Arabidopsis thaliana: one gene and its partners. The protein of the gene in region 2 purifies or fractionates together with the protein of the main gene of each other region. This does not show direct contact. Each region holds a gene or a part of one and is shown on either strand. Other genes may lie near its edges. The genes, in order: AtCDC48B, TCP-1 and EMB2107.

Region 1 (3,753 bases), about 13 Mb from region 2:
GTGAGTTTGAATATATTTCAGGGTTTAGTTGGTTCAGCAATGGTGTTTGCAATACAAATATATGTAGTGGAAAGAGGAGGACCTCTGTTTGTATCAGCGTATTTGCCTCTTCAAACTTTGATTGCTGCTGTTTTAGCTACTTTAGCTCTTGGTGAACACTTTTACCTTGGAGGGTATGTTATCTATATGTTTTGACTCATTATGCGTTTTATTTTCATATCTTATAGTTAAGTTTCTTACACATTTTTTAATGTTTGTTTTGGTCAGATTGATAGGTGCAATACTAATCATGAGTGGACTATACTTAGTTGTGATGGGAAAGAGTTGGGAGAATCAAGCTCTTTGCCAACAACAACAACACATGATTTCTTCAGCAGCATCAGATTTTGGTGATGAAGAAGACTACCATAATAATAAACCAAGATCTCCTATTAGTCAACCATTAATTTCTTCCTAAATTTTGTTAGATCCTATTTATGTCTTAAATTCCTAGTTCCTACTCTCTTCCTCATTAAAATCGAAATGGACCCGGTTGACGAAATAGAGATAAAAATAAATTTGGTTAAAATCGGTTTAGAATTAAATCGATTGGTTTGGGTTTAGTGCCACAGTGGTTAGGTGAGTAGAGTTGTGGTTCGGTTCAGGTTATGATATTATAACCTGGAGGGATCAAAATTGGCGCTTTTAAAAACCAAACAAACAAAAACAGAGAGGAAACAAAAAAATGAGAAAGCAAGAATCAGAGGGAGCGAATCTTGAATTCGAATCCAAATCAAATGACAATGGAAATGTGAAAATCGCACCAAACGACCAAAGTTTCCTCACAATTCTTGACGACATAAAGTCTTCCAAATCTCCGGTTCTTACACACGACAACTTATACATTTGTACACGTTTTTAAGACCGAAGCTGGTTTTTTTTCGTAATCTGACTGTTCTTCTTGTTTTTGCTTTGTTATATTCAGGCTGTTATTAACTATGGAGCTTCTTGGTACACCTTATTCTCTGTTTTTACGATTACGCTTTTCATGCTTATAAAGTGTTCGATGAAATGCCTCAATGAGAACGGTTTTGTTTTGAAACTTTCAGGTGTGGAGTTTGTAGCCAGATTCTTCCTGCATTCCGAAAGCTCAGCAACAGTTTCTCGAAGCTCAAGTTTGTTTATGCAGATATCGACGAGTGCCCTGAAACCACTCGTCACATCCGTTACACACCCACGTTTCAGTTTTACAGAGACGGCGAGAAAGTCGATGAGATGTTTGGAGCTGGTGAACAGAGGCTCCATGATCGTCTTTGGCTTCACTCTTGAATATGTTCATCAAATATTAACTATGAAAATCTGCATTCCTTTTGTGATACTTTAAATGCCAACACAAAAAATACTTGGCTCTTCGACAATAATCCCCTGAATAAGTTTGGACTTTGGTAGATTAATGTTAGGGATAAACTTACAGAAACATCAAAGGTTAAACAGAGGATGGAGCTAACATTCATGATACAACTCTTGACAAATAAATATGAACACCGAGCTCCTCACGGCGGCTCTTTCCCTCTCAAATAATTTGGTTTAACCGGGTATAATGACCTTGAGAAACATTGAAGTCTCTAAATCACACTCTTGCCAATCTCAAAAGCACCAAGCTTCACCTCTAAACGGTTTTGTTTTCCAGGAATGAATTGGGTTAATGTAACTTTCTAATTTGGGTCAGGTTTGAGATTGGACGGTCTTCCACCACAAAAAATATCAACCATTAAAACTTTTATTGTTGCCCATTAAGACCGACCTTCTTTTCGTAATTTTTTTTTTAAAACGTAACTTTGTTGAATTTGTAAAAAAAATCTCTTGTGAAATTATCACAATGTTTATTCAAAACTAAATAAGAACATACTAGAAGCTTTTCTAAATTGGAAGATGTATAAAAAAAAAATAGAAGAAAAGAATAATAATAATGGAAAACAAATACTATAAAATAAACGTTTCTTTGATAACAAGAAACGGATTTGTCTTCTATATAAATAAAACACACACCTGTCTATTTATTTACACTTCTCGAATCTTCTTTTTCTTCTCTGCGAAGCTCTCTCTCTCTCTCTACTCGATTATCAAACATGGCGAATCAAGCTGAATCATCTGATTCGTAAGTACTTGTTAATTACTGAGTAACTCTTTAAGGTTTTGTTAGTCTTCGTGTTGGGGTTTTTCTAATTCTATTTTTTTTTCTCTGAATATCTCAGGAAGGGGACGAAGAAGGATTTTAGCACCGCGATTCTGGAGAAAAAGAAGGCAGCGAATCGTTTGGTTGTGGATGAAGCCATTAACGATGATAACTCCGTCGTTTCTCTTCACCCTGATACCATGGAGAAGCTACAGCTTTTTCGTGGTGATACTATCTTAATCAAGGTTTGATTTTTGAATTTTAAGGCTCTTCTTCTCTTGTTTCCTTTACTGAATTAGGGTTTATAAGGTTTTGTGATTGTTCATTGGTTTGCTGCTAGGGTTTATCAGAAGGGTTGTTTTTTGAATTAGGTCTTTCAATTTTCATGCTTTTGTTTTGGGATAGTTTCTTTGAGTTGTGTGTATTTACATCTTTGTTTTCTCTCTTTTTGTTTTGGGAATCTGTGGTTGCAGGGAAAGAAGAGGAAGGATACTGTGTGTATTGCTTTAGCTGATGAGACATGTGATGAACCAAAAATTAGAATGAACAAGGTTGTTAGGTCTAATCTCAGAGTTAGGCTTGGGGATGTTATTTCTGTTCATCAATGTCCTGATGTCAAGTATGGGAACCGTGTTCACATCTTACCTTTAGATGATACCATTGAAGGAGTAAGTGGCAATATATTTGATGCATACCTTAAACGTAAGCGTTTTCTCTTCCCTGTTTTTGTCATTTAAGTTGTGCTCTGCTTATATGCTTCTTGATGTGTTCTGTTTTTATCACAGTAGTTTAATGTCTGTTTTTTTTATTTTTTATTGCCAGCTTATTTCTTAGAGGCATATCGTCCGGTGAGGAAGGGCGATCTTTTCCTAGTTAGAGGAGGGATGAGAAGTATTGAGTTTAAGGTTATTGAAACTGATCCTGCTGAGTACTGTGTGGTTGCTCCAGATACAGAAATTTTCTGTGAAGGTGAACCGATAAAGAGAGAGGATGAGGAGAGGTTGGATGAAGTTGGGTATGATGATGTTGGTGGTGTCAGGAAACAAATGGCTCAGATTCGTGAACTTGTTGAGCTCCCATTGAGGCATCCACAGCTCTTCAAGTCTATTGGTGTGAAACCTCCCAAAGGAATCTTGCTCTATGGCCCTCCTGGTTCTGGGAAGACACTTATTGCCCGTGCTGTTGCTAATGAGACTGGTGCATTTTTCTTCTGTATCAATGGTCCCGAGATCATGTCGAAGCTAGCTGGTGAGAGTGAAAGTAACCTCAGGAAAGCGTTTGAGGAAGCTGAGAAGAATGCCCCTTCGATCATATTCATTGATGAGATCGATTCGATTGCTCCAAAAAGAGAGAAGACTCACGGAGAAGTTGAAAGACGGATTGTATCCCAGCTCTTGACACTTATGGATGGTCTTAAATCCAGAGCCCATGTGATTGTTATGGGAGCTACCAACCGTCCCAACAGCATTGACCCTGCTTTGAGAAGATTTGGACGTTTTGATAGAGAAATTGATATTGGTGTTCCTGATGAGATTGGTCGTCTTGAAGTTCTCAGGATTCACACCAAGAACATGAAGCTTGCGGAAGATGTAATGTTC
Region 2 (3,753 bases):
TCATCTTTACTGAAAGAACGGCTTCCACAACCTTTAAAAGAAATGTGATTATAACAGTTCAGCCACATGCAATGACTAGGGTATTATTGCAAGATAAACCAGATTTAAGTAGAAAAGAGTCCCCCAAGAAAAAACCAAGAATAAACATAGGTTTTAATAACACTAATGTTTTAATGAATTTCCACGTTATTGCTTAGTAAGGAGAACTGGAAGCGTACCAAATTGGCAAAGAAGTCGCTGTCACCAGATATCAGTTTGGAGGACATGCTGGTTTTGGCACAGTTTATCAATGGAACTTTCCCAAGCTTTTCGACCTATAAAACGCAAAAAAAAAAGTAATTAACTAAAGGGGAAGAGACAGACAGTACAGTGAGCTTTCCCAATTATACTGACACAAAAAAATTGTATGAAGAGAGGAAAATTTCCTCTAAGAGGCAAGACTATAGACCATCACACGAGGACTAACCTTGGTCACCAACTTCTCTTCTATGTATTTGCAAGATTCTCTCATTGCTAGCTGTCAACAGTAAAAAAGATAATGAACACACTGGAAACACTTCTGCAGTGCAGGTTACAACATATGAAATTAAAGTCGCAGCTTACCCTATATCCACTGATAATTGATGTTGGATGTATTTTGTTCCTGACCAAATCATTTGCCCTCTGCAAATATATACATAAGACCCATTAATCATCAAGCAATAGTTACCATGTGAAAAATCTCCCAACTCTAGGAAAACCAAAACCAAAGAAAACAGTAATCAAACTAACCTTCAACAACTCAGCAGCTACAATAACAACAGATGTAGTCCCATCACCGACTTCTCTATCTTGAAGTTCAGCTAACTCGACAAGAACCTGTCACAACAAAAGTAGACAGATTAGAGAACTGAGTAACTAATAATTCATAACCAGTGTTTTGAAATGATGATAAGAAAATACGTATAACAATCACATTTGCATAAATTACCTTAGCAGCAGGGTGCTCGACCTCCAACATCCTAAGAATAGTAGCACCATCATTTGTAATAGTCACATCACCAATATCATCCACCAACATCTGAAACACAAGCCAACATAACATGAAACACGATTGGAGGAACTAGGAACGAAAATACAAAGGACAATATCGAGCAGATTTAGAATAAAACTAGAAATGGTTAGGTCTAAAAGTAACCTAAAACTAAACACAACTGTTGCCAAGATGCATCTAAGATATAAAAAAGAAAGCTAGCAGAATATATATACACAGATGCAAATCAGAAACCAAACCTTGTCGAGGCCGACGGGACCAAGTGAGGTCTTAACAATATTAGAAACAGCTTGACAAGCCATCACTGCAAATAGAGTATATAAAATACGAGTCAATAACCACAAAACATCTAAAAGAATAGATTCAAAACAAACCCTAGCTAGAGATCGAAACAAATTTGCGATGAAAACAAAGTGAACAGTTTAGTAATGAGAAGAGATAGGAAATAGACGTAAGAGGAAGCGATGGAGAGTAGTAGTACCGTTCTGAGTACGAACATCTTGGCCGGATTGTCTATCGCCGGAAATATCCGGATTTTGGGCGGAGATCGACATTATTCAGTTGTTATATGAACAGAAGAGGAGAAGCGAAAGGCTCTAGATCGGAGATCTGAGCTCTCGAGATAAAGTGCAGTGAGAGATTTTTCGCCTTTTATTGAATTGAAGCGAAAATGCTTCTCAAAAGTTTGTGAGAGTGAGAGACTCCGGCGGGTTTTTAACTTTCAAGGTTTCTGGGATGTACGGCCAGGGTATGAATGAAGCGGCGACGTTTTTATATTGGGCCGAAATAATATATACCCTCAAAGCCCATTTGTAATAAAGAGTTAAGCACGAATTATGGGCTTGGGGATTTAAAAAGAAGGCCATAAATGTCAATTTCAAAACATTTCATTAGTCTTCAGTACTTTGTCCGGTGCCAACGTTTCACATGTTTGAGTCTTACTTCTCTCGTGGGGAACTTTGGTTTCTGGATTTTTCAATAGTTCAGAAACTTTTTTTTGTATTATACTTTCAGATACTTACTACAACATTTCAGAGTTACTATTATGAACTTCTCAAATCTCAGTTACGGAAGAGATATAGGTGGTGATTGTGGAACTGTAATAAAGGTAGAGTTTGATTGCTAATATTGGCTCAAATTGAGATTATAAAAGTAAAAGAGATATGATCCAATACAGTTGAGATTTTAAAATCAGTTACAGTGATTTTTGAGAATCATGCGTTTAAAGGCTTGTAGAGCTTCTCAACCATCTTCCTGTACTCTGTATAACATTACAAGTTCAAGAAGACGAATATCATTATGAATCGAAAAATGGAGACGTCCAGAGATGTGTAATCTGATAACTATTGCAATTTTACCTTCTTGATTGCTCCAAAGCTGAGCCGCTTGATTGTTCAATGGTGAGCTGATGTTCGGTTCTGATCAATTAAAACAAAACAGGAAAAATCAGATACTGGATCAAACCAACAGAGAAATTCTTCATAAGTAACCTCAACAGTTATATCAGCCATAGAGTTTACCTCCGAGAAGGCTTTGAATTGAGAGTAATATCGTCCTCACATCATAAGCAGATGACCATTTATCCTACAAAAGATGTGAAAACAGATTCTGTTTTAAGTACTGCTTCTCTGATATGTGATTCCATGGGATTTACAGTAACACAAGTAGAAAGAGCAAGTGATTGTTATGTACCTGAAGAATGTCCAAGCAAATATTGCCATAGAGATCCACATTGGGGTGGAAGCAGCATGTCTCAAACTTAACTTTGGGAGACTTAAAAGGATAATCGTTAGAGAAAGTGAGTGAGAGTCTGTACTCAGTTCCTTCGAACACAGTATCTTTGCTTCCTGTAATTGTTCCTTTCCAGCAAAATATGTTGTCTTCCTCTGGAAACGCAGATATCCCCGGATCAGCTCCCATCTGCAATACATAAACCCAAAGGCCTCTATATAAGCATCCAACCATATCAACAGGTTCAGTTATGCAGAGAAAAGATAGCTTACCATCAATCCCATTAGTTCAGATTGCAGCCTGCAATTAAGGAAAAACAATGAATTAGCAAAACCATGAATTTGTTTGCTTTGATCAAGAAAGGGTACATAAAAGAAAGTACTTGAGATCTGTAGTACATACAAAGTTTGATGTATCATTCTCTTAGAGACATTATAACAAACAGTTGGTAGACAAAGAGAGAACCCATCATTTCAGAAGAGAACAAGAGAAGTCACAATCAGTTTTGGATCCATCGTTTTCTCTAAAAATGATCTAGAAAGCATGTAGACCACAAGAAATGGATATGGGTAGAGCCAAAACCTAATCTAATCTACCTAAAGAAACATGAACAACTCTATAAACAATCGCAGCGATTCTAATCATTAAGAGGCTAAAGACTAATTCCTTTAAATGGACGCGAGAATATTCCAAGATCGGAAAAATGTAAAAAAGAAATAACCTTTTTAGAACGGAGTGGCTATCGACGGTCTTAGTCGGAGGAGCAGATTGCTTTGATCCGGTGGCTGCCGGTGTAGTCGCCGCCGGAGTATTCCCTGTGTACCCATTAACCGTCGCCATCCTTTTTCGCCTCTTCTAATTGAACAAAGCAACAATCGTAGTCGAAATTTCTGAAATTGAAACGCTTTTTTCTCGAGAAGAATCAGATTCAAGAATGATCGAAACTGAAGAAGAAGGAGAAGAGAGATAGAGATAGAGATAGAGAGAGA
Region 3 (3,753 bases), on a different chromosome or scaffold from region 2:
AGGGTTGGTATATCAGCAGGAGCCTCTTCTACCATGTTATCACCTTCCTTAGGTTTCTTCTTATCTTTTTTTGTATCTGCGTCAAAAACTCTAGGATTGATCTTCCTAGATAAGATTTGTGCACGAACAAAATCTTGACGATCCAAGCACAAGCGAACCTTTAAAGTTTGACCACAATAGTTTGATAGTTATCACAATGAAAGAAAACACCAGCAAATTATTAATTGCAACGTAACTACACAAGTCCTTACTTGTTCAAGGATAAATGCAATTTTCTCAGTTTTTGCCATAGCACCAAATGTCTCCACCTGTTAATTATTTATCAAATTGCAGGGGTTAACAAGGGAAGAAAATTTCCAGGAGATTTAATAGCCAAATGCACAAAATCTTACAGCAACTTCTTGCATAAGATCTGCAGCTTCAGCTATCTGACCCTGTTCTTCCTTAATCTTAGCAAGTTTCTTGGTGAGACGTGCCCTCTCGATTTCAACATATATCTATACATGTAAAATGCAATGGTAAACAATTACACAGAATGATGAAGTTATTATAAAGAATACACCATCAGTTTCATAGTTTCGCACCTTTCCAGCAGATACATTGTTCAGCGTCTTGATAAGCTCTATCCGAGTTTCAATGTCTGGTGTCTGATCGATATACTGCATTGCTTGCTGCACCATGGATTGCACAGCCTGCAAGTGGAGAAGTTCACAAAAAAAAAATCAGTGATGTTGACTTATCACTTTGTATCCTTACTTTTAACTATAATTTTGTACATGGAAAGGTGAAGCTAATTCTGTCTGAAGTAACTAGACCAAGAAAACACGCAAAGCAAAAGTAAAACCAACGAAACACTGAAAATCAAACTAAGTTAAGTAATAAACTGAACTAAATACAAACATCACTATCTGCAATGACCCAATTTAGCTTTAATATTTGAGTCAACAGTGAATCTATCAAAATCATAGAGAGGAATCGTAAAAGCAACCTATCACAGGACAACATCCCACAAAAAGAAGCTTGTATCCAACACAAAGTCGAATCCTCCTGAATTTGTGCTAATGTCCTTAATCTCTTTCCAAGATTAGGGTTACCAAAAACTAGGCCTATGCAATTCCTAAGTCAAATGTGGAACAAATCACATTCAAAACTCAAACAAAATATCCAACTTAAACAAATCCTTCAAATTATCCCAAACCAAAAGTTCATGTTCCTTAAGAGCTTAAACCACAAACACTGATAGGATATAACCAAAATTCCAAGTACCTGTTTGAGCTGACCACGTTTCTTAGAGAGATTGAGAATCTGCTCATTCAGAAGTTTCCAATCCTTAGCATCGAAACAAAGCTGAAGAATCTCAGTGGCGGCTTTCCTTGTACCGGCTACGTTTTCGGCGAGTCTCATCTGCTTCTCTTCATTCAGAAGCCGATCTATCGTTGCCTCAAGCTTCCCGCTGTCTCCCTGAAATACAAACTATGACGGAATGAGAAGATGCAAAAATTTCGAAAACGAGAAAAAAACTTAATATCAGATCTGAGTAATTGAAGACTCGCCATCGTGAGAAATCCAACGAGAATCAACTCAAAGTAGTTGAAATTCTGGTGACGGAACGACGAAGCTTTAAACTATGGAGAAAGAGGAGACGGACGAGAGAGATGAGAGAGCTTTTGGGAGTAGCTGAGCACAGATAATTCGCAGAGTTCCCAACCCCTTGAACAAGAAATCTCAGATTCTTCGGCCGATGGATCTTTTTACATGGGCTGCTAATGGGCCATTAACTAATTGTTTTGAGTCAATCAGGTTTGGTATGTAATACCGGTCTAGTTATATGGTATGGTGTTGGTTCAGAAGTATCGAACCGATCCCATTGATTGAACAAACTCACGTCGTTCGTTCTTCCGCCCAAATCTCATGATATCTTCGAATTTTCGTAGCGAAACCAGAGATTCTATAATGTCGATCGAGAACTCCCTGTCTCGAGATTCAATGGTTTACCTTGATTACTGGAAAGATCTTTTCTGAATTTTTTTCATCGAGGAGAAGAACGTTAAGGAGGAAGAAGGTGAATCTTACTTCTGTGAAACTCTTATTACGCTCTTAGAATTCGAATATTGATCCTCTTACATATTCCTTAGATTCGCTGCTTACCTCCATCAATTGTGTTAACTTCGGTATTGGTTTCGATTTGTGCTCTAGAGATTATTTGCACTAGGAAGGTGAAGGAACTGTAGCCGAGACTCTGTTTTGCAATGTGCAAGGTGATGGATTAGAATAATCTGCTTACAGCTAGGAATCAGAGTTTCGAAATGATGATTTCTGGAAGCTTCTCTTTTGGTCGAAGACGCGACTATGGGACTTAATTTCGCAGTGCCGATTTTGCTGGAGTAATCAAAATGCGGTTTTGGAGGGAACGTGGCAGGGAAAATAAGGAACATATGGTAGCGCCATTATGCGGCCAAATTCGAGTATTGGTGGTTGGTGATTCAGGTAATATTAACAAATTCTCGTTTCCATAGATTTGGTAATGGTTCTAGCTTTTTAAGTAGCCATTTAATGGAACTAAAGAAAGTTTGTCGTAGTGCACAAACTCATCCTTAAAGAAGGAGCTAATGAGAAGATTTCTCATGATGATTGGATATGAGTTTCTACTTGTGGAACCTAATAAGAGTCAAGTTTCGTAAGTCTACTACATCTTCTCCACTATTGAGCAAAGTTTTATCTCTGGATATCAAATTAGGTGTGGGAAAATCATCTCTTGTGCATCTCATTGTCAAAGGCTCCTCTATTGTTCGCCCATCTCAAACTATTGGATGTACAGTTGGTGTCAAGGTAACTTAAGCTGTTCTATAAAAAAAATTCTCGATATGGTTAAAGAGAGCATGGGATAAGTTTCCCTACTTAGTTTCTGGAACTCTCTTTGGTGCAGCACTTAACTTACGCAAGTCCTGCTAGTTCTTCAAGTATCATTAAAGGTGACTCAGAGAGAGATTTCTTCGTCGAACTTTGGGATGTTTCAGGTCATGAACGATACAAAGATTGCCGCTCACTGTTCTATTCACAAATCAATGGTCTGTCTCAACAAATGTCATCTCTGTCCCTGTTTTGTCACTGATGCGACTGTTTGATTATGCAGGAGTTATTTTTGTTCATGATCTTTCGCAAAGGACTACAAAAACTAATTTGCAGAAATGGGCGGGTGAAGTTTCAGTAACTGGGGAGTTTTCAGCTCCCCTTTCTTCTGGTGGGCCTGGTGGTCTTCCCGTCCCATACATCGTTATTGGAAACAAAGCTGATATTGCTGCCAAAGGAGGAACAAATGGAAGCAGTGGCAATCTTGTTGATGCAGCTCGTCATTGGGTTGAGAAGCAGGGTCTGCTTCCCCATAGTGATGAACTTCCTCTCTCTGAGAGCTTCCCTAGCAATGTTGGTCTCATAATGGTAACCACAGACTAAATTACTTGCTTTATTTGAATTTAGTGTTATGCGGTATGTCATATAATTTTGGTAAAATTATGCACAGGCTGCCAAGGAAGCTAGATATGACAAAGAAGCTCTGACCAAAATTTTCCATATGGTTGGTGTCATTTCTGACCTTGCCATGTTTTACAATAGCTCTCTCCCTCTCTCTCTTTCTCTTCAACCTAATGAACGTTTTTCGTTTTCAGTTGATAAGAAGAAGATATTTCTCAGACGAACTACCGTCGCCTTCTTCAGCATGGTCTCTTTCCCATGCACCTTCCCAGCGGTTAGATG

Evidence for each region.
Region 1: the proteins of TCP-1 (region 2) and AtCDC48B fractionate together in Arabidopsis thaliana (co-fractionation; one large-scale study listed by BioGRID). This does not show direct contact.
Region 3: the proteins of TCP-1 (region 2) and EMB2107 fractionate together in Arabidopsis thaliana (co-fractionation; one large-scale study listed by BioGRID). This does not show direct contact.

What each region holds. Positions count from the first base shown.
Region 1 is NC_003074.8:19,721,308-19,725,060, forward strand, and holds the start of AtCDC48B (ATPase, AAA-type, CDC48 protein), read left to right. Parts: upstream 1-2,042; 5' UTR 2,043-2,108; coding exon 2,109-2,137; intron 2,138-2,234; coding exon 2,235-2,400; intron 2,401-2,628; coding exon 2,629-2,857; intron 2,858-2,977; coding exon 2,978-3,744; intron 3,745-3,753. Other genes in the region: UMAMIT6 (nodulin MtN21 /EamA-like transporter family protein), read left to right, coding at 22-173, 268-457; AT3G53220 (Thioredoxin superfamily protein), read left to right, coding at 725-859, 965-990, 1,089-1,308.
Region 2 is NC_003074.8:7,000,680-7,004,432, forward strand, and holds the start of TCP-1 (T-complex protein 1 alpha subunit), read right to left. Parts: upstream 1,757-3,753; 5' UTR 1,588-1,756; coding exon 1,515-1,587; intron 1,338-1,514; coding exon 1,273-1,337; intron 1,061-1,272; coding exon 971-1,060; intron 859-970; coding exon 772-858; intron 664-771; coding exon 604-663; intron 518-603; coding exon 467-517; intron 315-466; coding exon 219-314; intron 32-218; coding exon 1-31. Other genes in the region: UBC19 (ubiquitin-conjugating enzyme19), read right to left, coding at 2,248-2,294, 2,392-2,451, 2,554-2,617, 2,726-2,953, 3,037-3,064, 3,486-3,604.
Region 3 is NC_003076.8:3,090,879-3,094,631, forward strand, and holds the start of EMB2107 (26S proteasome regulatory subunit, putative (RPN5)), read right to left. Parts: upstream 1,718-3,753; 5' UTR 1,557-1,717; coding exon 1,554-1,556; coding exon of another isoform or gene 1,550-1,553; intron 1,462-1,549; coding exon 1,267-1,461; intron 693-1,266; coding exon 585-692; intron 498-584; coding exon 393-497; intron 309-392; coding exon 252-308; intron 159-251; coding exon 1-158. Other genes in the region: AT5G09910 (Ras-related small GTP-binding family protein), read left to right, coding at 2,394-2,487, 2,738-2,829, 2,927-3,068, 3,134-3,438, 3,521-3,574, 3,666-3,753. UniProt on the Arabidopsis thaliana protein: Acts as a regulatory subunit of the 26 proteasome which is involved in the ATP-dependent degradation of ubiquitinated proteins. Required for gametogenesis and sporophyte development. Acts redundantly with RPN5B.